Oreochromis niloticus: one gene and its partners. The protein of the gene in region 1 purifies or fractionates together with the protein of each later gene. This does not show direct contact. Links are inferred from orthologs where the notes say so. Each region holds a gene or a part of one and is shown on either strand. Other genes may lie near its edges. The genes, in order: mapk7, vbp1, pfdn2 and pfdn1.

Evidence for each region.
Region 2: the proteins of mapk7 (region 1) and vbp1 purify together in Homo sapiens (affinity purification with mass spectrometry; 3 studies listed by BioGRID and IntAct, with this or other methods). This does not show direct contact. The link is inferred for Oreochromis niloticus from reciprocal best matches to the Homo sapiens genes MAPK7 and VBP1.
Region 3: the proteins of mapk7 (region 1) and pfdn2 purify together in Homo sapiens (affinity purification with mass spectrometry; 3 studies listed by BioGRID and IntAct, with this or other methods). This does not show direct contact. The link is inferred for Oreochromis niloticus from reciprocal best matches to the Homo sapiens genes MAPK7 and PFDN2.
Region 4: the proteins of mapk7 (region 1) and pfdn1 purify together in Homo sapiens (affinity purification with mass spectrometry; 3 studies listed by BioGRID and IntAct, with this or other methods). This does not show direct contact. The link is inferred for Oreochromis niloticus from reciprocal best matches to the Homo sapiens genes MAPK7 and PFDN1.

What each region holds. Positions count from the first base shown.
Region 1 is NC_031973.2:17,618,412-17,625,988, forward strand, and holds the start of mapk7 (mitogen-activated protein kinase 7), read left to right. Parts: upstream 1-4,556; 5' UTR 4,557-4,717; intron 4,718-5,142; exon of another isoform or gene 5,143-5,274; intron 5,275-7,577. Other genes in the region: vkorc1 (vitamin K epoxide reductase complex subunit 1), read right to left, coding at 2,816-3,027, 3,281-3,390, 4,121-4,302. UniProt on the Homo sapiens protein: Plays a role in various cellular processes such as proliferation, differentiation and cell survival. The upstream activator of MAPK7 is the MAPK kinase MAP2K5.
Region 2 is NC_031967.2:30,265,317-30,272,737, forward strand, and holds the start of vbp1 (prefoldin subunit 3), read left to right. Parts: upstream 1-4,401; 5' UTR 4,402-4,464; coding exon 4,465-4,545; intron 4,546-6,316; coding exon 6,317-6,441; intron 6,442-6,695; coding exon 6,696-6,762; intron 6,763-7,421. Other genes in the region: putative DMBT1-like protein, read left to right, coding at 210-213, 473-781, 2,332-2,468, 2,678-2,779. UniProt on the Homo sapiens protein: Binds specifically to cytosolic chaperonin (c-CPN) and transfers target proteins to it. Binds to nascent polypeptide chain and promotes folding in an environment in which there are many competing pathways for nonnative proteins.
Region 3 is NC_031967.2:23,683,137-23,689,960, forward strand, and holds the start of pfdn2 (prefoldin subunit 2), read left to right. Parts: upstream 1-3,814; 5' UTR 3,815-3,889; coding exon 3,890-3,970; intron 3,971-4,999; coding exon 5,000-5,088; intron 5,089-6,164; coding exon 6,165-6,288; intron 6,289-6,418; coding exon 6,419-6,610; 3' UTR 6,611-6,824. UniProt on the Homo sapiens protein: Binds specifically to cytosolic chaperonin (c-CPN) and transfers target proteins to it. Binds to nascent polypeptide chain and promotes folding in an environment in which there are many competing pathways for nonnative proteins.
Region 4 is NC_031975.2:33,670,492-33,677,907, forward strand, and holds pfdn1 (prefoldin subunit 1), read left to right. Parts: upstream 1-4,449; 5' UTR 4,450-4,573; coding exon 4,574-4,606; intron 4,607-4,991; coding exon 4,992-5,158; intron 5,159-5,244; coding exon 5,245-5,329; intron 5,330-6,712; coding exon 6,713-6,796; 3' UTR 6,797-6,901; downstream 6,902-7,416. UniProt on the Homo sapiens protein: Binds specifically to cytosolic chaperonin (c-CPN) and transfers target proteins to it. Binds to nascent polypeptide chain and promotes folding in an environment in which there are many competing pathways for nonnative proteins.

The DNA of each region.
Region 1 (7,577 bases):
ATCTAAAACATAAAATGATTGTATTTGTTAGATTTTTATTTTCTTTTACTTTTGATTGGTTATGCTACAGGGTCTGTGTTCAAAGTATCCAAAACCATGCAGAGCTGCAGGGTCACTGTTTTCGGACTTTGTTTAGATATGAAAGCTCTGGCTCACAGTAAGTTCAAGAAGTCTGTGCTCTCGTGTCTGCCTGGATTCCAGAGTGTTTACACTTTACATGTTCTATACTTTCTGTCACTTCCACTTAATTCTGTCATCATCACTCTGATTCCATTATCTTCTTGCCCACCTTCAGCAAGCCAATTAGTCTCTCTTCCTTATTATTTATTTATTTATTTATTATGTGAACTTAGTGCTAGTCTGTCATTCTGCCATTCTGGCTCTACTCCCCCCCACCACCACCACCACCGCCACCACCAAATACCGAATTTGCCACAATGTCAAAGAATTGCTAAACCTATGGCTGACACATTTATGGCATTGAATACTTTAAAAATCCTAAGCAAAGAATTCAACAGAAGAATCCAATACAAATCAATCAAAGCCAAACTAAAAAGAAGCGAATGTGACAAATTAAAATGTCAAACAGAAACAAACTGAGTTTTTCAGTGCATGAAAGCCTACTTAGTGGCTGATTACTTAATAAAAAGACACAAACACGTGGCATTACAGTAGTTATAGACTTCCGATACTTCTGATTTACCAACTAATTGAATAATATGTCTTAGTGTCTTAGTGACTCAGTCTGTTCTGTATTTTTTTCCACTTTCCACAGAAAAGGTTATTTGCTGCATTAAGTGACTTCATCCTCACTCATACATCATGCCGGTGTTACAAGATACAGCATCCAGAGCAGTATGAAGTTAAGGAATGTTTCTTCATGGTTCAAAGGTTGCTCAGCAGAGGATGATTTAAAGATCTGTGTGAAATGGCACGATGGACGATTGGTCAAAATTAGCCAATGAAAATGTGATATTAACTTTTTATAAAGAAGGAAAACACATTTAGTCTTTTGATTTAAATATATATACATATATATATATATATATGGTGGCTAACCAACCGGACATAGTGGTGGTAGACAAACAGAAGAAGACGGCTGTAGTGATCGATGTAGCGGTTCCGAATGACAGCAATATCAGGAAGAAGGAACACGAGAAGCTGGAGAAATACCAAGGGCTCAGAGAAGAGCTCGAGAGGATGTGGAGGGTGAAGGTAACGGTGGTCCCCGTGGTAATCGGAGCACTAGGTGCGGTGACTCCCAAGCTAGGCGAGTGGCTCCAGCAGATCCCGGGAACAACATCGGAGATCTCTGTCCAGAAGAGCGCAGTCCTGGGAACAGCTAAGATACTGCGCAGGACCCTCAAGCTCCCAGGCCTCTGGTAGAGGACCCGAGCTTGAAGGATAAACCGCCCGCAGGGGCGTGCTGGGTGTTTTGTTTTTTTTTTTATTAAAATTAATTAAAAATAAAAGCTAATTATGCAAGCTTCTAGCTTTGATTGAGGTTGTTTAGAACAAACCTGATGACACGAACTCTTAGAAAACTTATAAATAAACCACCAGACTTTGAGGGCTGTGAGTAAAAAAACAACTCCGAATGAGGCCAAAAACAGATGGAAACCTGTGCAGTTATTAAATTAAACACAACAGTCTTTACTCTCTGTGTTTTACTTTATAAATTGAGTTACTGTGAGCAACACGCATGTATAATTTTGTTGAGGTACGCTGTGTATCACGATTACAGCCTGCTGTCTTTAGCAGTCTCAATATTTTTCTTGCCTGGGTTGGATTTGGATTTCTTCAAAAGATGTGCTCATCACCATTACTGACAGTCTGTTATAATAAGTCGTTTTGGTTGGAATTGCAGGGCTTGTCTGCCTCATTTGTTTCACAGAGCAGCATTAAAAAGATGTGGCGATAGTCAAATTGGCCAGCAGATGTCACTGTGGAGATTGGTTCAGATTGTTTCGAAGCCTCGATACAATTCCTGCACAAACGGTTCAAACTTGTCGCCTCGCTTTGCCCATTATTATTTTCATCAGTTCTTTGGTAAGTAAGAAACAGACAAAACATTAAATGTAAGAAACTGAGGTGTTTGCACCATTAAATAACAATACAATTACTGGCAGTTTTTCACATTTTACCATATTAACTGTTTTTGACTTTGTTCTTTTGACCCACAGTTGAAATAAATTTTATTTTAATAATCAGATTTTTACTTTGAAGCTGAGCTAATGAGCTGCCACTGCTTGTTCTGTTTTTTTATGACATGTGGTCTAATAAATTAGTTAAAAACTGTACATATTGTAATGAAGCACACTGTATTAGATATATTTGTTTATTTTTTATCATCTTTTTTTTCTCTTTGTAGGTCTGGTGACTTTTTGGGGGAGACGGGCAACTTGAACAGTCGTTCCAATAAAGTTTGTTTGAACTGCTATTAAATAGACATTTATCTCCATCTGCTGGTAGGACTGAGTAAATGTACTGTAGAGAAAGGTATAGCCACTTTTAACACATTTGACCATATAACAGCCCAGAATTAAATCACAACAATCACACAGAATTAAGTCAGAATTCAAAAATGTGTTTTAATCATTACCAGTTAATAAAAATATACAAAAGTAGCTGCTGCACAACAAAGTTTCTGTATTGAGAACCAACTTATAGATATTCTGAGTCAAATCTCCAGTTATTTTTCTGTGAAAATACTGAATGTAAACTCATGTAAACACTGGCAAAATACTGTGAGATGAATCCAGCAGGGTTTCAGGATGGCAGGAAGGGATTTGTTACATTTCACAGGCAACACTTTCTATCTGGCTTTTTCCTTAATTTCCTGAACTGCTCTCTTCCGTTTCAGGTTGGTGTAGAGCAATGCAAAGTTGACAATATACGTGGAGACACAGACCATGCAGAAGTCTCCCAGAACAAATGCGAGAATAGATGCAAGATAGAGTGAACCGGCCACAGAAACCCAGGAGGAGAAGACCAAAAAAGCTGCTGCTTTTTTAGACACAGACAGTCCTGTAAAGAAAAAAGTCAAATAGAGAGGATATCAGGACCTCAGTCAAACATAGTACATTATTGGGAAATTTCACACAGTCTCACGTCCAGAGTGGAGTAAATGTATTGCTCCATATACATATTATGCAATCCTCAAATACCTGAAATACTTGTGCTTGCCATGGATCACAAACACATTGGATTGCAAATGATATTCTAAATAAAAAGCTCTCAGCATTGCACTGTAATTTACAGAAGGCAATCAGAGACTAACCAAGGCCCATCTGCAGAGTGTAAAATATGATGCCAAGAACACTGTTGGGCTGGTTTAGAGGACTATCTTTGGCCACAAAGTACTGGACCAAACCAAAACCACGTCCCCATCTGCCAGAAAGAAAGAAGTAACAGTCAGAGCAGCAATTTCTTCAAAATAAAATGAACAATTTTTTTATTTTTTTATTTTTTTATTCCTATGAAATATAATCAGCCTTACAGAGATATGCAATGTGATATAACCATTTAAATGTACACAGAAAGTATCTATGGCCAAAATGCTTACTTTCAGTAACTTCATTACATGTAAATGTTCTATCAAATTTTGTTACATAAGTACAATGTTAAATGTTAGATTTAAGCAAATGAAATTTACTTGAATGGTATACAGAGTTTATAATCAACATATTTTCCTTAATGATTATTTAATTTAATAAATAAACCGTTGATATTATACATTACCGCTGCATTTTACTCAAAATCACTGCTTCATGTTTATGAGGGCAAAGAATCATTTCTTAAGTGTAGAACATCAAGCGTGTAATAAAGATTGATTCTCTTAAAAATGACAAGAAATGTCAAAATAAACGTATATACCTTGTATTCTCACAATGTGAAACAGGAAGCTACTTGATGTAAAGTATTTTCAGATAAATTAAGAACACGTGGCAATTCAGTGTAGGTTAGAAAGGCTAGAAAAAAATATGTTAAAGTATCAGCTGGAAGACAAGGTTAGGATCAGATATGGATCAGTGGTCACCTGAAAACAGATCCAGGTAAGCTGATTCTGCACAAAAAGCGCAGTTATGAGGAAAAACGAAAGGCAGGAGTCATATCATACCTTGAGGTAAAAACTCTGGAGCAGCTTACAGACTCCCCCAGGTCGCACAGCGCTCTGTAATCTGGGTTTCTCTCCCGGGATACCTCGACGTGAAGGGCATAAATAGACAAAACCAAACCGAAAAGGCACAAAAACATGCGTACCTTTCGCTCCCATTTGGGGAACCCCTGAATGGCACCCATGTGGACACTAAAAGATGAATTTATTGCACCAATGTGTTGAAACTGCACGGTCCAGTCTGGTTTTCTTTCAAACGTCACCGTCCTCCTAGTCAAGACGACGTGTTCGTGCTCAGATTGTCGCTTTTGATTGGTCTGTGCGAGTTTTGCGACTGCTTTTCATTGGACGGTGGAGTCCAGATGTTGGCAGATGGGTGTTTGCACTGTATTTTTCTGTGGACTTCAGTCTGTTTGGGCTTTGGGGAATGTTAATAACCGCCCTTGCTGTTCATCTCACGCCACTGGAAGATTCCACTGCTAAACTACTATACCTGAAGGAGTTTGTTTGTTTGTTTGTTTTTACTTAACCAAAAGTGTCTGAATTTTTTCTTAACATATCCACTCGGAAATGCGTCATTAAAATTGAGCTCAACTAGAGGTAACGACTGCTTAATCCTTTAAATAAAGTAACACAACGTGCTTAGTAAGCTGTGAATTATACTATGAGGATAGTTTGGAAGATTTTAATAATATAATTTTCTATGATTAGTAGTTAGTATATTCTCCAGCTTTAGCATTTGTTATCTGACTGATCAGATAATCGCAGGCTTCGGGCTTAGTTGGATATATATTATTATTATATTATATATAAAGTTAGTGTAAAGCACCAACAGGAGCAGGTATCTTTCCCTAAATCTGACTCCTCCTAAAGTAATTGAACTGTGGGGAAAACAGAAAGAACAGAAACAGAAAAAAAAAAACCCCACAAAGATAAATAAATTGAAAAAGCGGAGACTGTCCAGCAATGTGCCGCCTCCCAACGCGTCCTCTGTTCCCATTGGACAAACTACTTGACGTCAGCGCATGTGGTTGGTCCGCATCATGGCACTCAAACCCTACGCGGAACTATACGAGGAAGCGGCAGACAAAAACAAAAGATGGTCGCGCTACTACGGGGTTAAAACATCAATGCTGGTGTTGTGGGTGACTCACAAGGTGAGCGCACATTCCTTTAACAGAAAACACGTGTCAGTGTTTTTCCGTTTTGTTATATAATCGACAAAAATGCCGTTTAACGATTTCTGTGTCTAGAGTGCTCCAGCTTCAGGTAACGTTATTAGCCTACGCCCCTGCGAGTAGTCCTTGTCGTGCGGTTAGTTTATAACTATGTAGTACACAAATTAGTGTGTTCTTACAGACAGCCTCTGCTGGGTTTGGCCTTTAGCTACTCGCATGAAGACTCCAGCTTTATTGTGGAGACGTTAGTAGAGAGCTACAGGTTTGGTTTTGGCCACTTTCACTGCCAGGCCTAGCGGGTGTGGAGTTACTAATCACACCTAGTTTGAGCCCTAGCAGGTCACTCTCACACAGTTTATCAGCGTTTAAAAGTGTGTTTTTATTTGTCAGAAGCAGTAGTTTCTTTTTATTTAAGTTTTTCTCCTAAATCTCAATTGAGCAAAACTTTCGCATGTGGTGGTTCAGTCTCTGTTATTCCTCAGTACCCACATTAACGGAGGCACTCCTGGGATGGCTTCCATGCGCCCAAGTGTTAACAGAAAAGCTTTTATATGGGCATAATTTGAGTTTTCAGTAAAACTGATTTTAATAGTGACAGAAATGCTGCCGCTGGATGGCACTGGTCTTATGGAGTACATAGTGTTGCTGCTACAGATTCCAGCATAACACATGTGGGTCAAACATAAGGCCCGGGGGCTAGAATCGGCCTAGCAGAGACTTTAATCGAAAATGTTAAGGAGAGCATAAATTTTGTATGTTTACATTTATTTTAATAAATGTTACAGCTTTTTCTTGTTGACTCTCCCATGACCACTCATACTAGCCCCAAAATAATTAAGTAATAAATAATAAATAAATTGAAATAAAAGTTTGTTCTTTCAATATCAGCTATAGAAAGCTCTGTTTTACAACAGTGACATTTTCTGTGAAGTAATAGAAACTTTCTTGTTTAGAAATACAGGACAGTCTAGACCAGGGGTCTCAAACTCGTGGCCCGGGGGCCACATCACCCCTACTTGTATTTTGACGTGAAGAAATATAATGCAATTTGGCCCTTGAAGTTACTTTTTTTGTTAGGAAGGATTTGTGTGTTGTCGAGTGGAATGTTAAAAATAAGTTCTTCAAAAAGCAAAAAAATATTTAATATGAAGAAAATATGAGTGCAGGGAGGGATTGGCTGTGTTAGTTCGGTGAGAGTTATTTGTAAAGAAAACAATTTTCACTAGCAGTCACACTTGGTACACTTAGTAGTAGGGCTGTGCGATATGACCAAAATCTCATATCCCGATATAAGACATCTATCGTCCCGATAACAACATACATCACAAAAATGTAACATTTTCTGTAAATTCTGTGAATCTCGGGCAGCTCGACTTGCGTGAAGTGTTTCCAGCTGGGGGTCGTGTACCTGGAGTCGAGTGTTTTAACCGATGCATTAAACGATACATTTTTAGACATAAGTTGTAACGGCCGCCGTTTTCTTTGTGAGTATTTGTTACACATTGTGCTGCGGGGAAAAGCCTGTTCTAACATTTGAGTCCAGGTTTATTTTTTAGCACCTGACGGCTCTTTTTTGCTTCTCATCCGTAAATACTCTGCATACTCTTTCACATGATTCAGTTTATTTTGAAAAGTCTCAACAGGATCTTGAGCTTTATTGTGAAAGGTTTATGTGGAAAATAAACAAGCGGACATGCGATGGTTTTACCGTCGTTGTTGCTAACGACAACGCATAAAAACGGGCGCTTGTCCGTCAGTAATGTGGTTATATTAAATATAAGAGAAAGAGAGAACTTTAAGAAATTAATATAGCCACTACAGTGACCATCAAAACGATAAAAAAATATTGCCGTAAATAGTTTATTTTGCAACACCACGAAACAAACGATAGCGTAAAATGAAACGATAGATGTTTTTATATCGTCATCCGATATATATCGTTATATCGAACAGCCCTACTTGGTAGTTCAGTAAAAGGCTTCAGTTAGTTACGAGTGAGAAAAAATACAATATTTGACATTGTTATACAATATTTGAAATGAAAAAAAAAACAGACAAAACACTACATTTTCTGAAATATTTGTGGGTGCTTTCTTGTTTTTGCTGGTTTGTTATTTTGTACTACTTGAACACTAAATTGGTACTACAGTACCAGATAGATAGATAGATAGATATTTTACTGATCCACCAATTGTGTTAAAGTCGGATAAAGAATACAAATAGTACAGTCAACAATAGAAAAAAAACAAAGTTAAAGTGCCACCAGCGCATATTGAGGGTCT
Region 2 (7,421 bases), on another chromosome or scaffold:
CAATGTTTTTTTATTCATTAAACAGACATGATTTAACAAGAAATCACATCTGAATGCTTAATTTGTACTTGACACAGTTTATAGTGTGCGCAATAACAATTTTCTGGAGAATTTTAAGTTTTATCACTTCAAGAGTAAAGATGTGTTCGACATACAAGATCTAAATGTACATATAAAATATGCACATTAAACAAATTGCTATCAAAATTATGGGTAAACTGTTGTACTTTTAAAAATGTCACACTTTTAAAATTGTGTAATTTGAGTTGTGCAAGATTTTGCAGTTAGAATTACATATAAAAATCCAACTAAAACAGTACACATCTTCAACTTGTGAAAATTTCTGTATTTTTAAAAATCAGTTAATTTCCATTTTTACTTCTTCTTTTTTTTTTTTTTACCCTTTTTTTATTTTATTTATTCTTTTTTCCATTTTTATAATTCTGCTATGACCTCTGTGTTTTGTTTTCAGCCATCAGACTGGCCGGGTCTGGATCAACACAGTGCTCTGGCAGAGTTGAAATTTACCACAATAACATCTGGGGAACAGTCTGTGATGAAGACTGGGACTTAAATGATGCTGATGTGGTTTGCAAAGAGTTAAACTGTGGACCGGCACTACAGGCTCCTCAATCAGCTTACTTTGGTGCAGGAACTGGACAGATATGGCTTGAAGAAGTGTCATGCACAGGAAATGAAAACTTTCTAACTGACTGTCCAAGCAGTGGATTTGGAGGAATTGACTGTGACCATTCTGAGGACGCTGGTGTCATCTGTTCAGGTGAAAAACATTTTTGGTCATCCACAACATGTCAAATACATATCTTTAAAACATATCTTTACAACTACTCATACAGTCTCCAAATGCAAACGGGTACAAACAGAAAGTAAATGGTTTGTATTTGAGACCGAGAAGACGCACAAAGTCCAGAGAAATGGCTTGTATGAGGAACAGCATCCGGCTTTTAATTTGTGCCAAATCAAAAACATGGCGATCTGTCTTCTGTGAAAAGTAGTTGAGTCACTGAAATTAGGTGCAGTTATATCACAATAAACTATAATAGTGCAACCAAATATACAGAACAAGAAAATGCACACGCTGTCATTTTAAAATGACTGGATGCCAGTGTTGAGGCTGAGGCAGCCACATTTATAATGATCGCTGTCAGAACATGAAGTGGCCAAGATGTTGGTGATGATGATGATGAAGATGATGGGAATCTTTACAGATATTAACTAAAATTAAAGAGGAGTTTATCATCTTACAAGCTCTGTCGAAAAAGGTGAGGCAGAGAGAGAAAGAGATTGAAGTCCCCCCGTGGTGATATCTGAGAGGGGGTAAAAGGTCTTAACATCCAGCCTTATGTGTTAAAAAAGATCAGAGTGCTAAAACAGAGCTTTTCCCTATTTTCTTACAGTAGATCATCTTTCATTTTAATCAGAGATATAGTTGAAGTATAGGTCTGATTAGCATATTAAAATGAGAAATATAGTTTTAGTAGTGAAAATGACTCTTCTAATATCTGAATGTTGTGTGTGTAGACACGATCCAGCTTTGACCTTGGGATATTAGTGTCTCGGGAATTTGGAAAAGATAAGAAATGCATCGGCAGCCCATCGTTATACATGATTTTGAATGAGAGTAATGGTACCAAGTCTTGTAATGGTTGAGCAAAGAAACATAATTTGAATCAATACTGATCAGAATATAATCAGGTATATTAAAAACAAGTATGTTTAAGTTTAAGCAATATAAAAAATAAGAAAATATAAAGTATGATAATGATTTTAAAGACAGGCCTCACACTGAGAGTTTGACCTCGGTGAGTGTGAATGTGGGGGTGCTGCAGGATGGGAGTGACAGAGTGACACACGGGAGCCACTGATCTCGCAGAATGTCTGACTTACAAAATGTGTGATTTAATAAAATAAATTGTATTGAGTAAATTGTTATTGACAGACAAAGATCTTAAAAGAGAAAAAGAAAAGAAAGTGTTCCCATGTGTTTAAATTAAAAATAAATTGCGCTCAAATTAATGCTCATGTGAGAATGGATGCTGATGGAATCTAACTGAAGTAGAAATTGTATAAAATGAATGAAACTTGAAGTAAATTATATCCATTTTTCACTAAATGCTCAAATGTGGTGAATTTTTCAATGTTTATGAATAACACAGAAAAGAAGAAAATGTCATTTTAAAGTTTAAACTTTGTTTTAAATTGTGTGTGCGGGAAAAGTCAGACAGACAGAGAGAGGGTGATAAGGTGTAGGTGGACATCAGGTGATTAGATGATAACAATGTGATTGGATGTCCCCATGGGTGAGGCCAGATGTCGTCTCAGGAGATGTGACATCCGGTAATACAGGAGGAAGTTGGAGGAAGTTCTTGGTGAAAGTGAATCTGGCAGCTGTCGACTCCTCCGTGGACATGAAAGACCCGGCTGTGATGGAGTCCGTCGTGAATTTGGTAACTTGTGCTACAAAATCTTATTAAAGTGTCTATACTTATAATTTTTAATGAAAAACATACCAGATGTTTTTAAGACAGTCTTAGGTGATGAATATTCCCCCCCAAAAAACACTTTCTTTGCATTTCCTTGTGTAAAATGTTAAAATGTAACAACAATAGTCTATAATTTGAGGTGTAATCATTAAATTCTCTTTTCTGTTGCGCAGGTCAAAAATGAGCTGGGAGATACGACTGGCGACCTAAAAGTGAGCTGGTGGAAACTTCCAGAAAAGAAAGACATCAAAAAACAAGAGACGTGTACTCCATAGTTCACACTGTTTGTTTCAATAGCTGGATGAAGGCGGCTTACAGCCTGTAAAAATGATTTGATTGATTTAATCTTCACTTTTCAGATGGTATCTGTGTGTTTGCTTGTTTCTGTTGTGGTACATTTAGTTGTTAAACAAACATCATCTCTATGAGTGCAAACTTTAATGGGGTTGATGACTTAATTCTGTGATGAATTTACAAAGAAGACATGTTCAGTTGGTGCCAGCAGAGAAATATATCACAGTCAAATATGAAATTTAGCATCTGCTTTGAATTGAGGTAAAGGGATGTGATTTTCAAGGTAACAAAGTTATATTTCCATGTGGTTTGCATCATGAGAAACAAAACAAATGGGAAGATATCTTCCTTGACCTTTCTTGACCATAATGACTTTTTCTTTGTCTCTCAAAAAGTTAGAATTTAAATTTAAACCACTTTATTTGAGATGTTTTGAATTGACTGAAAAACTGTAATATAAAATGCATCTGTGTGTTTTACTAGGACCCATTTCTGTTTAAGCTTGCATATTAATAGATTTTTTTCTTAAATTATTGGTGATAAATGCTAATCGAGTTCTTCTTATCCTTTCCATTTTAATTCTTTGTTTTACTGTATATTGAATTTATATTGCGTGAGCTCTCGAGTTAATCTACTCTTCACTTTTCTGTTTGCTTTTTATATTTTACTTGAGAAAACGCAGATAGGTGTGGAGATTTATTAAAAACATGACTTCCAGATGATATTCCCTGACAGTACTTTTCGGTGTCCATAATTCCCTCAGTGTTGACAAAATCCCCAAACAACATTGGCTGAAATGTTGCCCCAAACCATGACAAACCCAAGTTTCCTTACATACTGATGACGATTTAAACCAAAAAGAATTCAAGTTTTGATTCATCACTCCATACGACACATTTGTTACTGATTTTCAGTCCAGTTCTTGTGTAATTTGGCATCCTTTGACCTTTTCATTTTTTAAGCCTGTCACTTGTTCTTTTGTCCTCCACTTGTCCAGTTTCTATTTTTAAGGACGCCCTGCACATCATGCTGGGATGTGGCAGGTTTTTGGCTAACAGCTCTTTGGAAGTCATCTTATCCCTCTTAAACTGTGTGATCACTAACATTTTTCAAGTGCCTAAAGACAAGATTTTAAAAAGTATGTTATGTACAGCCACAAATTGATTCTTTCCTTGAGCCTTTTTATGCTTGAATAATTCATAGCAGTGTTATGTGGCTTATCAATGGTCAGGTAGAAAGGCTGGACTGAAAATAAATGAAAAAGCAGCTGATCTCCTGAGAAAAACTCAGAAAGCCGGGAAAACTACTGCTCAAGAGCACTTTAAAAATTACAAAAAAGTCTCGTTCCTTGGAAGTAATATACAGAGGAATGAGGGATGACTACACTTTTTTCACAGTACTGTAATTATGTTTTGTTTAGGTGGCTGGATTTATATGTGCCTTGAATGCTGTAATCATGTTACTAACACTATTATAAATCATTAATAATGTTTCATTATTATGTGTGACATTAAAAGGTTCTTGATTCAAAAAAGACTCGTTGAGCCTTTTGTGTTACTCCAGTTGCAGCCTGTGACCACTAGAAGCAGCAGAGTCTTGTTTCCCCGCTTAAGACGCTTGTACGCATGCTCGTACGTCAGGAAGGAAGGAGTATCCTCTCTCCAAGATGGCAGCGATCATAGACAACAGCAATGCCGTAGGGGCGACAAAGAGAAAGCACCTCGGGATCCCAGAAGCGGTTTTTGTGGTGGGTAAACCCGGACATTTGTCGCTGTGTCGCTGGTTTGACTTGTTATTACTCCGCTGAAGACACACTTGTAGCTGTAGCTTCCGGTGTGCGGGTGCAGCATGCTGGCTAACAGCTAAGCTAACAGACAAGCCTGCTGTGTGTGCAGGCTGGGCGGCAGCTCGTTTCCATCTATGGACATCACTGCATTATTGTCACTCTGCCTCGTTTCCTCTTTAGGCTTTAGGTCAGTTCATCCAGCCACACATCAGTCTAACTGGAGGCTGCTTTGGTGACATTAGCCTCCTCCGTGCACAATCAGGCAGTAAGATGAGCACATTTAGATTTAACGTGTATAGTGAATACGTCCCAACATATATGAGCTACTGCTCTCAGGTGTCCTGTCTCCTGACAGCTGCAAATACAGCACAAAGTTAAGTGTCACGTGATCTGCAGGTTATTTTTCTCCTTTAGAGTGTGCATTATATCACAGAGCCCACTGCCGTGTCCTCAGTGTGTTTGTTTCATCAGGTCAGCAGTTCAAAACTCCACCAAAACTGGAAAATGTTGATCTTCATTTACTTAAAAGCATCTTAGGCAATTAGTTTTCAGTAATTCATCACTTATTTCACTGCAAATCCTCACTCATGTATGTTCTTTGGCCTTTGCTGAGCAAATACAGGCCAATTACAACCAGACCTGGTCAGTCGATTACAGGTTGAGGTGTAGTCGTCTGGTAAAGTATCAGTCACACATGTACCTACATGCATGTGCATGTCAGAGCACAGTGCAGTTTAATGTACAGTCTCCATCTCCACCTGTCAGCCACCATGTCTTCCTCACACAGCTTTGCTTCCTGGATGTGTAATCTCCCCGTTTCTGCTCCCTCTATCCCTCACTCACCTGTGATGAGCACATGTACATTTCTAACCGGCTATCAAAAGCTGAACATCAGATTCACAGATATTATAAATGTGATTTTATCATGTGTTTGTTTCAGATTTTTATGGTGGAAACAGTTTGAGCTGTTGCAAGTCCCAACAGATCTTTCACAATAAAAGCCTTGTCAAGAAATGAAGTGTTTCTGACCAGTAAGAGTCTAAGAGGCCATTAATTTGAAAGACATGGTACTATGAGGTCTTTAAGATACATGGGGCCTGATTATTAAACATCTTGACAGTGTAATGAAGTAATTTGGTGTAAAACTAATTCCTGCATCTTCAGCAGGCAGTTTGAGTGCAAAGTTCTAATGTTGTTCTTTATTTAGAGTTGCCTTTTATTTGTCCTCATTGACGTCCAAATCACCAGCTATTCCATAACGTACAATGTTTTTTGTTACAGAAGAGTTGACTTCATAAGTTTCTTAACATTAACTTACTGAAAACATGGCATGAAGATGCCATTAGAAAAATTTATTCTGAAATGATTCCGCAATTTGTAGACTGTTGAGCCTCTGCCTGTATTTAACCCTGAGGAAATCTGCCTCTCTAACATGCTCTTTTTATACCCAATCTTGTGACTGACCTGTTGCCAGTTAACCTAATTAGTTATAAAACATTCCTCCTTCCTTCCTTCCTTAGTACCACTTTTGTTGCCCTCATCCCAACTGCTTTGGGATTGAGGTAGTACATAATCTCTCCAGTGTGTCCTGGTGCCCAAATCACCTCGCTCATGAGGCATCCCAATCTGATGCCTAAACCAGCTCAACTGTTTGCTTTCTGGTTTATTGTTATTGTTTAGTTCATTGTTAGTTAATCTTGGTTCATTCTTTCTCTCTTGCCTGGATTTTCAGGAGGATGTCGACTCTTTTATGAAGCAGCCCGGCAATGAGACGGCGGACGCGGTGCTGAGGAGGCTGGACGAACAGTACCAGAAATATAAATACATGGAGCTCAACCTGTCTCAGAAGAAACTCAGGTGACACCAGTGAAGGAACACTTAACCTTGTTGTTATGGGCTTAGACAGAGATTTGACAGGTCATTAGAGTTTGGTGTTAATATGGGACACCATCAGCTGGTGGACATCATTTCTGAGTGATAATCAAAGATTTGGACAGATATTAAAGACATTTAGTGAGCTGTTTAAAGAAGGGCATCAGCAGAATTTAGACGAATAAGGACACACACACACGTTTCATAATAACATCCAAATCACATCTCTTTGCTCGCAGGTTGAAAAACCAGATCCCTCAAATCAGACAAACGCTAGAAATCCTACGACACATGCAGAAGAAGAAGGTGCGTACGGTTGTTGTGAACCAACTTTAAAATGTTACCATTGTGTGACACCAGTGTAATTGTGTGTTGAGCCTGTTGTAATTTGATTTGATGTTAAGTGAATCAAACAAATATTGGTTTGAATTCATTTACAGGGATGCCTGTCAGGTCAAAGGTTATTTCTGTAGCACATTTTAAACAACCTCAGTTGACCAAAGTGCTGTAAAAGTTATACAAAATATACACTGTACACAACAGTCGCAAAATCAACAATATATATACACAAAAACATATAAAACAAGTAAATTGGACTCCGTTTGCATTATAAAAGCCAGGGTACTCTGCTCAACTAGACCCAAAAGCAAGTGAGAACAAATAGGTTTTTAAAAGTGTCTTAAAAATGATGGGCAGCTAAAAGTTCTGTATCCATTGAGCCTCTTAAAACAACTGAATACTGAAGTCGGCTGGAAGCCGGTGTAAGGCGGCCAGTACAGGTGTAATGCGATCGCATGGTTTCTTTCCGGTCAAAGTGAGCTGCTGCATTTTGTACAGCTTGTTTGATCAGAGCCAACATATAAGAATTACAACAGTCTAGACGAGAGGTAATAGAAATGTCAAATATCACACCAAGGTTCCTTATAGGATGACAGTTAGAGGTTAAGAGACCAGTGGCGCTGTCA
Region 3 (6,824 bases), on another chromosome or scaffold:
ATTGTAATTAACCACAGTAGTGACAATAATGGATACAGGCTAATGATGGTGGTTGAGTTTAATGATGTTAAATATATTTTGATTTGTGTTTATAATAATAATAAAAATAATGGATTGGATTTATATAGCGCTTTTCAAGGCACCCAAAGCGCTTTACAATGCCATTATTCATTCACGCTCACATTCACACACTGGTGGAGGCAAGCTATGGTTGTAGCCACAGCTGCCCTGGGGCAGACTGACAGAGGCGAGGCTGCCATATCGCGCCATCGGCCCCTCTGGGCAACACCAGTAGGCGGTTTATGGTTATAACAAAAGAGCACAGATCAAACAACTTTACTCTTCCTTGAATAAGATGTTGGAGGAATGGAAAGTGACCTATAATACTCCAACACTGAGAAAGTCATAGTTGGAGGAGACTTTAATTTGGTCCCTGACGTCTATATGGATCGCCCTCCTCCAAGAAGAAATAGCCACTATTATGAGGAGATTGTAGCTGAATTTATTACTAAAGGAAATCTAATTGATTTTTGGAGAATGAGAAATCCCAATGTCAAACAATTCACATGGTACAATTGGGCTAATAATGGTCAATGTTCAAGGTTAGACTTTGGTTAATGTCTACTAACCTGATAAATAAGGTCCCTAAATGTGAAATATCAGCATCACCCCTGACTGACCACTGTGCTATTTCAATGTCTTTTCAACCAGGTGGGGTTAAGCATATCCCTAACTATTTATGGAAGTTTAATTTTGCAATGAAACAAAAAAACTTGTTAAACGAAATTAATCTACTGGAAATGTCACCCTTGAGTAAATGGGAATGGTTTAAAATTTAAAATCAAAGAGGTTGCCATAATAATAAGTAAAGGCATCTCAAAAGTTAAAAAAAAGAAACAACATGATATTATTAATCATATGAACAGATTACGTCAAAAAGAAGACCCATCTGTAGAAGAACAAATCAAACTAAATAATCTTCAAAATCAGTTGGATAGTTTATATCTGGAAAGAGCAAAAGGAGCATTTATACGCTCAAGAGCTCGTTGGCTTGAGGAAGGTGAAAAAATACTTCTTATTTCTTTGGCCTGGAAAATCAAAGACAAACAAAAAAGAAAATCAATAAACTACTTGTTAATAATCTTAGGAATGATAGCCAAGAACAAATAAATGAGGAAATAGAACATTTCTATAAGAAATTATATAAATCTAACTTTTCACTCGATGATTGTCAAACATTTTTTGAAATAATTAGGCCAAGTAGTACAATAATTGATGAGTCTTTTAGGCAACACTTAGAATAGATAGATAAACTTAGAATTGCAGAGCTAGATAAAGCAATTGGGCATATGTCAAAAGGAAAGTCACCAGAACTGGATGGGTTAACAGTGGAATTTTATATTCATTTTTGGAATGATATCAGGGTACTGCCTTGTAATGCCTTTTTGAATGTACTTCATCTGGTCATCTCTGTCGTCTACCATGAAAAGGGGTGTCATCACATTAATTCCAAAACCCAGTAAGGACAAACTATTGCTGGATAACTGGGGACCAATTACTTTATTATGCAATGAATACAAGTTGCTAGCTCATATTTACTCCAATAGATTGGATTTGGGGCTATCCAAAATAGTGGATGAGTGCCAGTCAGCCTTTGTGAAGGGTAGAAACATACATAACCACACTAGACTGATTCTTGGCCTGCTAGACTACAGAGAATTTATCACAACAGTGTTGTTTCTGGACTTCTTCAAGGCTTTTGACACAATCGAGCATTCCTTTTTGTTAAAAGCTTTAGAATTTTTGGGCTTTGGAAGTAAATTTTGCAACATGGTTGAAATGCTTACACTGACATCAGTAGCACGGTCTCCTTGAATCCAGGAGTCATTCCTGGATTCAAGGCGCAACGAGGAATCTGACAAGGATGCCATATTTCCCCAAAGCTTTTTATATTGGCAACTCAATTCTTAACACTATTAATCAAAAATTCTAACAACATACAAGGAATATCAATTTTTAACAAAGAGTTCAAAGTCAGTTTGCAGATGATACATCTATCTTTTTGAAAGATAAATCAATGGTAGATAAAACTTCAAGTACTATCTCAATCTTCTCTAAAGCTTCCGGTTTATCTCTTAATATCAAAAAATGTGAACTACTTCCGATTCATACAAACGTGTACTGTTGTACTGTTCCAAATTTTCATTTGTATTATTACCTGTGTTATCCTCTTTGAGAGTTTGTATTTTACATTGCTCAAATACAAAAAAGAAATCTAGGTAGCTAGTGACCAGCTGTTTGCCACACACAACCTTTTGCAGCTGGCAGGTGGTGGGCAGCCCTCTTCCAAAAAAGCAAAGAGAACATATTTAGAAAACAACAAGGGGAATAACTGAGTGTACACTTAGGGATCACTTTTGAATACATAAACTTATTCCTGGGGTTTTAATTAGTGCTGTTTTTCCAGAGCCATTCACATAGATCAGACAGCCCCCCCCCCCCCCCCCCCCCACACACACACACACAACATGTGTCTTTTGTTATTACTGTGTATTGTTGTAAACACTGACTGTATAAAATATGAATGTTCATTTTCTGTATTGGAAAACCGAAGCCAAAGTGTCTTAAACCTGCATTCTGTCTAAAGACCACCAGATGCTAATTGCTGTAGTTTCAAAAACACTTCAGGTCCTATAAATGTCTATGGAAAAGCCTCTGTAAAAAACTTTCCTGCTGAGTTTATAGTCTTAGTCACTCATAAATAATATGAAAAACTCTAATGTTAAGGCATTAAAATGGGATTTCATAAAGGAATGAATTCGCCATAGAGTGTAAATAGACAGATTCTTTATTGATCACGCAAGGGAAATTGCCGTCTTGCAGCAACACCACCCTCTACAGGAAAGGGCAGAGCAGGCTGTACCTGCTGCGGAGACTCAGGTCGTTTGGAGTGGAGGGCCCACTCCTGAAGACCTTCTATGACTCTGTGGTGGCCTCAGCCATCTTCTATGGTGTGGTCTGCTGGGGTGGCAGCATCTCTGCTGGGGACAGGAAGAGACTGAACAGGCTGATCAGAAGGGCCAGCTCTGTTCTAGGATGCCCTCTGGACCCAGTGGAGGTGGTGAGTGACAGGAGAATGGTGGCTAAGCTGTCATCCCTGTTGGACAACATCTCCCACCCCATGCAGGAGACTGTGACAGCACTGAGCAGCTCCTTCAGTGGGAGACTGCGGCACCCACGGTGTGGGACGGAGACATTTCGCAGGTCTTTCCTCCCCACTGCTGTCAGACTCCACAACAAAGACTTCAACTGATCAAACACACACATCCACACATGTGCAATAACACTAATGTGCAATAATCTTTTCTGGCATCGTTGTATTTTTACTCAATTGTATATAGCATTTGTATTCTATTCTTATCTTATTGTATATTTTATTCTATTTTATTCTACTGTATATAGTATTTTATTTTATTCTATTCTGTACAGTTGTGTACTGTATTTATTCTTATTTTATTTTATTCTAATTTTTCCTTCATAACTTTTGCACTGTCCACTTCCTGCTGTGACAAAACAAATTTCCCACGTGTGGGACTAATAAAGGTTATCTTATTCTTATTCTTATAAGAAGTAAAAATAAAAATTGTATAATCCACAATAAAAACAACATAGGCAGTGTAACAATGTAATTTGAGGTCCATACAGTAATTGGTCCATACTGAAGGCCTAGTAATGTGAAGTAGTCAAAAATTTCACATACTACAGTGATTAAAAGAAAATAATACCATAATGAAAAGTCACACTTTATTTTATTCATTTCTATACAGGCAATCGCGTAAACCAGCCCTGTACGTCTTTCCTGGGTCCCTCGCAGCAACACCCTTCCAAGATGGCAGCCAACAGTAGCAGCACGGGTAGCAAATCCAGCAACAGCAGCGGTGGGAAACAGTCCGGCCCGTCAGCTGAACAGGTACCCTCCCCTCCACCTCAGGCTGCTTCACCGGTGCAATCGTTGATATTGTTGTCGTTGGGCCTTGTGCGGTGGAGTTACAGCCACCAGTTTGAGTCCCGGATAGCTAAAGCTAACGTTAGCTTCCCATCGCAGTGAGCCAGGTGTCCGGCCATCAGTCTGCTCTCTAACAAGCAGCTGGTGTTAAACATGAAGATTTAAGCGTTCATATAATGAGCTGGGGTCAGGTGTGCGCTTCTAGAGAGCGGTTTATGGCTGTTAGACGTATTTAAATGTGCGCATGTGTGTAACGAGATGGTGTAGCTGTGTGAATAGAAGATGCTATTTTTATAACTGAAGACCACCCAGCCCGACTCAATCAACGTGAAGCCACATTACTCAGATATTCATAAAGTATCTGTAATGATGAACTGAGTTTGCCGTAAAAGTCCTGCAGTGTAGCTGCTCTCAACAAAAGTATGTGGAAAGCGATTAATGTGATCAATGCAATGGTTTCATGTGGTGCTCCTGCAGGCTGTCCATCATGGATCAGTTTGCGTTTGTTGGTGTCAGCTGCCCTCTGCTGTCCCAGCGCAGCACAGAACAGCATAGAGTACGGCAGTGACCATCACAGACTCATGCTGAGCGGATATTAAAATACCTCAGTCATCTCAGAAAATAGTGATGGCTGTGTATGTTCTTGTAGAGAACTTATGTGTTTTTAGTGAAGTCTGGTTAATTGTTAATGTGAACATTCCTTGACAGTTTCCACTGGTAGAAACAGGGCTCACTGATTTTGATCACCAGGAGGCGTTTAAGTTACTTGAAATTAAAATGCCATTATTTTTATGATATAGCCAAAAAAATTACTGAAAATGTGTGAATTTCTGAGTGTGGTGAGGTTACATAGACTTTTACACCTTAACTATGTGTGGATCAGACATGCTTACATGTCCGGTCATCTCCAAGAAACGTGAATATAAAAATAACATACCATATGCAATAGCTCTGCTGGTCCATGATGGTGCTCACTCTGGTTTTGTGTGGCAGGTGGTGGCAACATTTCAGAGGATGCGTCAGGAACAGCGCAGTATGGCTTCTAAAGCTGCAGAGTTGGAGATGGACATCAACGAGCACAGGTTGGTACAAACCTTCTGATCCGCTCTAAACAGTTTACATTTACAAAGAAGTTTCATGCGGCAGTTCAAGAAAGAGAGAACTGAACATGATTTATTGATACACAGAATTCAGTTATGCTATTTGGCGACTCCGATGCTACGACAGCAGAATGAAATCCTAGTGGCGATAGACGTTATCTAGGCGTCAAGGGTCATGCCTTGACTCTAGGTCCTCATCAAATTCTAGCTCAGGTTCTAGCTCAAGTGCCCCTCCAGCTCATAGAGGATCTCAGAGCAGAAGTCCAAGATGGTGGAGTTTAATCCATCTGACCATGGCTTGCAACACACACTGGGAAGCAGCTAAATTATTTTATGGTTTTACTGCGTGCCTTCTCAAATGTTGGCCCAAATGTGTGCGCGCACACGTGTACACAGAAAAAGCGGACAGATGATAGAAAAACACACACAGCAAGTGTTTATTTCTCACTTCCAGTATTAGGAAACATTTGCATGTTTGCAAACAGTACTGATTGCAAACACTTCATTGGCACAACCGGAACAGGTAGCTGGTTTGCAGCAGTTACTTTGGTAACTGAGTTTAAGTAACTGATCTTAAAACGTTTAAATATAAAAGTAAATAAATGCTTAAATGAGGTGTCAGAAATACTTGTATGGGTATTAATATACTTGGTGGAAGACCTGATGGCTGAGTAGTTATTCCTGTTATACTTCTTTTAAGTTCACCTCCCAGAGTGGATGTGTGGTCAGTGCATGGTGAAATAAAGTCTCCGTGGATAAGTCCTTGTAGACACATGGACCCTCACACTCACTGTCTGATGATGAAATTTATGATCCTAGTGGACTTGTGGATGTGGAGGTTAATTGAGACTTATGGCCTGACGTTATAAGCATCTAAATACGTAATAAGCTCCAGGGCAGACCAGGTGGTGCATGTGAATGTAACACTGAATGCATGTCCTTAGCCGCAAATATTTCACAATCTGGGGAATCACAATGTCAGCTACCAGCTGAGGCATTCCTGTGATACCTTTTGAGTTGAATACGTTTTCTTTTTAACATTTCTGTTTTCCATTCAGCTTAGTAATAGACACATTGAAGGAGGTGGATCCATCGAGGAAATGCTTTCGTCTAATAGGAGGAGTGTTGGTGGAGAGGACAGTAAAAGAAGTTCTACCTGCCTTGGAAAACAACAAAGAACAGGTGATGGAAGAGGAAATGATAGCATATTACAGTTTTCACACTGTGCTCTGCTGTTTAATAGCTTCATATATTGTACACAGACTCTTATTTCGCTCACGATTTAATTTTCTTCCTCCTCCTATCTTCACAGATCTCCAAAATAATCGAGTCCATCAACTCACAGATGCAGACGAAGGGGCGGGAGCTCACAGAGTACAGGGAACGCTACAACATACGTTTGGTGGGAGAGGGCGAAGGAGAGGAAAAGGGCCAGTCAGCCGCTCCCTCCAGGGACAGCGAAGGAGGCGGATCCAAAAGCGGAGCCGGTGTTTTAGTTTCATAGGTAGTGAGCATGGACAGTGACAGCAGGGCCCTTTGATTTCTGCAGTGCTGAACACGTAGATGGAGTCACACAGTTTAGGTGGAAAACAAACTCTTTGCAGGATAACTCTGGATTTGAAGTTTACTGAAATCTCTGCTTAATCTAACGCACTTGTTAATTTGCAGCAGGTATATTCTGCTTCCTTATGTTCAGTGTGAAAGTTAAAGCTGTCTTA
Region 4 (7,416 bases), on another chromosome or scaffold:
GTAATAAATAAATAGTTGTTGTTTTTTGTTTGTTTTTTTAACAAACAGAAATGACAAGTAGTAAGACAACACAATAAATAATACTATAACTAGAGTGCAACAACCTGTGTACCAGTATGGAGTATGGGTATAGAGTGTGGGTATAAATATGGGTATAAATTAATACTTTAGCAGCAAAGGGCATGATGACCAGCACTGATAAAGTGACAGTGTCAATAAGTGTTAAGTAGTGGTTAAGGTGCTACAATAACAGTTCTTGTCCATTATGCATTAAGAAGTCTCACAGCTTCTGGAATGAAGCTGTTTCTCAGTCTGGTGGTTTTGCATTTTTGCTCCTCAGCCTCCTGCCTGAGGGGCGTGGGACAAAGAGTGGGTATGCTGGGTGAGTGGGGTCCTTCATGATACAGGTGGCCCTCTTCCTGCATCCGGAGGTGTATATGTCTGTGACAGTTGGGAGGCTGCCTCCGACAACTCTCTGTGCAGCCTTCACCACCCTCTGTAGAGCTTTCCTCTCTGCCACAATGCAGTTTCCGTGCTTCCGAGGCGGCCTCCTCTGCTCCTTCACCTCCATGTTCATCAAGTCTGCTCCATACTGCTCCATACACCGCTCTCTCCCACTTCATCCAGCTTACACCACAGTTCCTGTCTCTCCTCTGACCTTTGACCCGTGGGGGTCTGACTCTGACTCATGATGCTGTCTCACGCCCAGTTTGAGTCCTCCTGGCCTCGCTTCCTTTCCTCCTGCTCTCTCACCTCCTCCTCCTTCTCCTCATTAGCAGCTCTCTCTCTTTAAAATCACACCTCCTACATTTAAGGCTCCTCTCTCACCTCCTGTTCCGTGGCTTCAGTGTCAAGTAGCAGTAGAGGGATTTCAGACGATGATAAAATGGATATATATTGGACAAAAGTTGGAAAGAGTAGGAAGGTAGGGCTGAGGAAGGACAAGTTGAAATTCACTCTAACAGGGAAGCGGGTACTTGAAGAGGAAGATGTGAGACGAGCAGGGGCGGATCTAGAAGGGTGGCATGGGGTGGCAAGTGCCACCCTAAAATGATCCCTTGCCACCCCAAGTGCCACCCCAGTTTTGCATATGACAGTGTTGTTTATTAAAATAAGATAGCATTAACAGTTTGAGCGTAGTTACAGTCAACAGTGAATGTAAATGCTAAAACTGAATATACTGCATAGTGTCCCCCCCCTCCACCATTAACAAATGGTTCAGCCCATAGCAGGAGCGGCGTTTTTCTTGTTGTCAGCAGCAAGCGATGCTTATGATTGTGCCAGAGCACATTTTGAACAACACCATGGGAATTTCGGATTTTACACAGGTGGTTGGATGTTACACTCTGGAAATGGAAGGAAGGTGAGTGTTATTAACCCTCTGTGGTCCACGGACACGCTGCACCTCCAAATCACATGACTGATGTAAGCTGACACAGCAACAAGCTGCAGCCACGCTGAGTCTCTATTTCAACCCACATTGAAAGTTCGGACTTCAAAGTTTTAAAATTTTAATTACAGGCCAGTAAATCCAGAGTTATGATAATATATATAAGCCACGCTTTTTTCTAAATACTGTCGTCACGTTTTTGTGTGTGTGTGTTTTAAGCGTTTTCTAAGGAAAGCGCGAAAACAGTAAAGAAAGGAAAGAAAGCCACCTCTTTCCTATCGGTGGAAAAATGCACCATGTCGACCAATTTAAAAAAAGTCAACACGTGGGATTTGGTTGTTTAGGAAGAGGGGAGAGTTTTGGGAGTGACGGTAACGGCAGCGAGACAGAGCGAGCGAGTGAGAGAGAGAGAGCGAGAGAGTTTTTAGATGTGGGAGATTTGTGATGTTTAGTGTGGAGTGTATAGTTAGTGTGTTGTGTTGTCTTGTGTAGTTGTTCTGTTGTGTAGTCGTTGTTTTGTTTTGTGTGTCAGTGAGGGCACTAATGAAGGTCACAAAGGCACATTTGCAACGTAAACACTGTCACTAAGTAGAAAACCAGCGGAGTGATACACCTGCTGTTGTCAGGTCTGCAGGTTTATCCCTGTGCTGTTCTCCTCTGTCTTTTGGTGGAAAAACTTTCTTTTACTGGCACACATCATTTGTGGGGAATCTTATTGCGAAACCTGATTGTTCTTGAGGCTTGAGCACCTGCCCCTTTCCTGATGGGTGCCCAAAGTGCCCTTTTGTTGAGGCAATTTTTTTTTTAATTTTTAATTTATTTTTTTTTAAATGTGTGTGTGCGTGCAGAGTCCTGTCTGTGCCCCTCAACAATAATATTTAACTATTAATCACAGTTTTGCTAAATAAAAGGATCTGGCTTGCATCAGTCACATGATCACCATTAACCAATGATCGCCCTTGACGGCAGAACGCGCTGGAACGAGCTCATAAAGAGCACGCGCATTTTTGCGGTCCGGAGCTGTAGGAGAAACACAAATTACCTCAGACACACAGACTGAGGCGACAAAACCAGTAAGTAGGTGAACAGCGCACACTGTAGTCTACAGCACACAGGAGTGTTAGCTTATTACGTACACGTTGGTAAGCTGTCTTGGGACAACTGACGAACTGAAACAAATGAGCGTGCTGTGTGTGCAACAGCGCGACAAACATTACCTGTCCTTTTATTAACTGCACAAGTAGTGCTGGTCATAGCTGCTGGCTCACTGGGTAAGGCTGTCATGGGTCTGTAGCTCTGTCACCGTGTTAGGGAACATATTTAGTTTTAAAGTAAGTTACAGGGCTTTTCCTGCCTTTCTGGAGGGATTATATTTCACTTAAAACGATCTAATATGCATGTCCACATAATAATGGATTATTATAATTATAATATTTTAAAAAACACGCTGTATTTTAAAGAACATACATTAAGAAACAGATTATATTAGATTTATATTTTAAATAAGACAAAATGCTGATTTTACAGCAGCAAAATTATTGTATCTCTACAGTTTAAAAATGTAATAAGCTTTCTGCCTGCACAGAGTGGAAAGTGAAACAAATTGAATCATCATAAATACATTATTTCATATGTATTACTCTTTTTCCCTCATTGCTTTATTATTGTAGCTCTAGTAATAAATAATAAAGGAAGGATTCTGGATCAACACCATGATGGAAACTTGTGCCCACAGTATATACAGTATTCTGAAGAAGGTCTAAAATGTCACTGTGTGTGCATGCATGTGTGTGTTTTATGTATATGGATTTTTGAATTATTACTCATAATATAACATTGTCCAGACATGGCTGGTAAGGACATGAGGAGGAAACAGTAGGAGCTGTGTGAGGCCACTAAAGGCAGTGGATCCCTCAGCAGCTGGATTACAAAGAGCACAGGTAACATTAACACATGTACCAGTTGTTGGAGAGGTATCCCAGTATAAAAATAATAATAAGCACAACTGAAATGTTTTGCTTCTATAACATTTTTCTGTCATCATTTTATTATAGATTAAGTGTAAGAGTTGTTAAGTGTGGATAATTAAATAATAGTTTATTGCAATAGCAAGTTATGCCTTGTTCTCAGATGGACAGCAAATGGAGAGTGATAGATGAGATGAGGGGATGGAAGGAGGGAGAGAGGCAAAGAGTGATTCACAGGCAGGGTCTAGTTTATTTCTCAGTTTTTTGTTGCCTTATGGTTCCAAGCGCTGTCACCAATCTTTGCATTTTGTTATTATCTCATGACACTTGTTTAATCAGCTACCATCTCTCCTATGGACTTTTTAATGTCTACAGTCTCAGATCAACACAGCCCTGCCCTCCAGCACTATCAGCAGCAGGAGCAGCAGCAACCCCTCAACAGCAACATTGTACCCATCAGGTAAAACATAGGCTACGTTTGCTTTGCCTCACAACAGTGATATAGTATGATGCGATCCCATATTAGATTCTTGATGAATGTGTGTTGTTGTTATTCAGCCTGGTTCAATGTGCCCCTTTTTAGCTTTGAGCACCCGCCCCTATAAACGTCTCTGCACGGCCCTGACACAGTGACTCCACTATATAAACACTTCATTGTGAGTATGCATCGTATATATGAGTATATATGATTACACACAGTTTATGAAAGTAACTATGATTACATGTCTAGTGTATATAAGTATATATGTCATAATAAAATCCACAATAGTTTGGAAAAGGTGCAGCGAGAAGAAGTCATGTAGATATGAATATAAAATAGAGTAAAGGTGTCAGCCACAGTGGGACAGAGAGGGTAGTTTTATTATAGTACACAGGGCAGAGGGACACTGTGGGAGAAGGTCTAGAAGAAGGTGTAATGTGAAGAGTAAGATTTGGTCACACAGTTTAAATAACAGTGTCAAACAGACGAATAAGCACGAGACAGGAAGTGTGAATGTCGTGCAGGAGGCATCTGAAAAGTGTAAATAAAGGCGGGAAACATGGAAAATACACATCACAGAGGAGGACACGTGATGGAGTTCACAGGGCGGACACTCCAGTCCAGCAGGTGGCGGTAATGCACCTGACGCTGTTTGCTACCGCCATAAAAAGATAGAAGAAAAAGGCGGCTCTCGCGCGTGCGCAGTGTGTCCTCAGAGTCGGGAGCAGAAAGAAGATGGCGGCGCCCGTAGATCTGGAGCTGAAAAAGGTAGGAGCTCCTCACCTGTGTGTGTGGCACGTGCTTTGTGCCTGTGACTAACGCGGCTGTTTCACACGTGGTCGAGTGTTTTTTCCACAGTCTCCGGTTTAAACTGCCCACGACCTCCGTCTGTGTCTGTGCCGGCGGGACACCGACACCGTCACGCTCGTGACTTTAACACACCTGCGCCCAGGCCTTGTGTCGTCACCGTGACGTAGTTAGAGCCCCTAACGTCAAAGTGACGCAGCGGAATCGTTTGCGAGTGGGTTGTGGGTGTAAGGTGTGATATCATGAAGTAGAGCTAAAAATGATACGGTTTCGGGGGGGGGGGCGGGTAGTTCAGAGTGGGCAGGCTCTGTTACCATGGTGACTAACCGTCAGGTGCGCTCCGCAGGCTTTCTCCGAGCTGCAGGTGAAGATGATCGACACGCAGCAGAAAGTCAAGATGGCCGATCTGCAGATAGATCAGCTGACACGCGTTCAGAAGCACGCCAAGCTGACGCACGCGGAGATAGCCACGCTGCCCGACAACACGCGGCTCTACGAGGGTGTGGGACGCATGTGAGTCACCTACTTTTAACCTTAACAGACCTGAACGTCACGCAGGTGTCAGCCAATCACATCGGTTCAATCATGATGTGTTTCAGGTTCATCCTGCAGTCCAAGGAGGAGATCAACAACCTGCTGACAGACAAACAGAAGACTGCTGACGAGAAGATCAAAGAGCTGGAGGTGCACGCGCACATGCCTCTTCTCATTGGCTAACTGCTGATTGACATCACGCGTGTGGGCATGTTCTGCATGGGGTTAGAGAAACCTTCTGGAGGAAACCTGAACTGTGTCCAAATTCATGGGCTGCATCCTCCTGAGGACCCAGCCTTCGTGGTCTACGTGGGCCGGGTCCTCAGAAGGTCGGGTAGGCCGGAAGTAAACAGCTGTGAAACTGGACGGTCTAGCTTTCAGATTTGTGTCACCGCTGTGTGGGTGGAGTTTAATAAACTCGGCCGTCTGCTCCTTGCAATCTAAAATATAACAGGACGCTGGCGTAAATTCTCGACCATCTCACACTTCTGTTTAATCAGTTTTCTGTTTGACGTTTATTCAGCTGTGTAAAAACCACCCGGGGGATTAATAAAGTTTTATTTTATCTAATCTAATAACTTTAATCTCAGCCAAACCGATTTACTCACGAACAAATAAAACACTGAAAAAATGACAAACAATAACATTTTTAGGTTGTCTAAGTGACTTATATATTACGTTTAACCTGAGTAGCGAAAGTCCGCAGTGATCTGAAAATGATGTGCCGGGAGTTGTGCCGTTCTCGGCGGCTTCAGTGACCCTCGAGCTCTCGGCTAGCTATCGAGCTGGTGGGTAACAGATGTCTCCGAAAATGTCAGCGCACTTTTAGAAATATGTGATATCTTGATAAACCAAGCAGATATTCGAAGTTTACACAGCTACATTCTCGCCTGAAAATATGTTAAAAGTTTATTTTGTGACCCAGAAAGATTAATAAGAGTAATATTAAAACTTAGTAGCGGCCGCCATTGTTGGAAACTGGAGTTTGGCTGAGCCGCGCTATGAATTCTGGGATATGGTGGGCCACGAAGGACACACCCGACCCATCCTTCAAATTCGGGGAAAAGGAGGACGCATTTGTCGGCTGCATTCGGAGGAGTCGACGAATTTGGACAGCCTTCGGCGCGTCGCTGTGATGTAATCGGCCTACAAATGCGTCCTCAGGAGGATGCAGCCCATGAATTTGGACACAGCTCTGGTCTTGTTAGGAGAGACGGCATCCATCCCACTTTGGATGGAGTAGCTCTCAAAATGTGACTATTCAGAGTTGGGACCAGGAAGCAGAGTTGCAGTCTTACACGTCTCTCTGCAGCTTCTCTCCTCCTGTTATCTCCCAAAACCCCATCTCCATAGAGACTGTGTCAGCTAGAGTCTTTAAAATATGAAACACGTTGATGTAACTATTGTTGTGCTTTATACAAAAAAATGGTTGAATTATCCTGCAGTCTGATTTCAGGAGGTTGAAACAGTGTTGGTGTGTGACACACACACACAGCTAAGCACTCACAGTATGTTTGTGTTTGTGATTTCCAGCAGAGGAAGGTGTACCTTGAACGCAGCGTGAAGGAAGCTGAGGACAACATCAGAGAGATGCTGCTGTCCCGGAGAGCCCACTGACTATCATCATCATCACACACACTATAATTACACTGTAATACACACACACACACACACACACAGTTTCCTGTGTGAGTTTTTCACAATAAAAGCTTGAAGACACTGCCTGGTGGTGGCTTTTTTCAGTCTGAGATTTACTTTGAATTTGTTGATGATGACGACCCTCTTCTCAGTCTGTGTGATCTGATGAATTAAACCAGCAGACGATCATGTGACTGTATGGAATTACGTTTGCCCAAAGGAGGCGGGGTCATAATGTGATTGGTCACTTTGAATCCTTTAAAACAGAAGGATTCAAAGAGCTGATCTGAGGTCTGTGCCCTGAGGTTGATCAAGAAGCATGCATCAGGGTCCAGCAATTATAACTTACTACAGACATTTAAAGCTGCACGTGTAATTGCACCATGAGTGGATGCAGCGCTAAGAACAGGCCCTATATTTCTCTGGTTTTACGATGTCCTCAGTGTTGAGGTGATAAATCAGCACATAACTGAGCAGCAGCAGAAATAACAGCTGCAGGTAAACGGTGACCTGATTCATTTGGTCAGAGATTCATCCAAATAGGAAAAATCCTCTAAACCCTGAACGTCAGAGGTCAAAGGTCCGATAAGCTGCCGGTG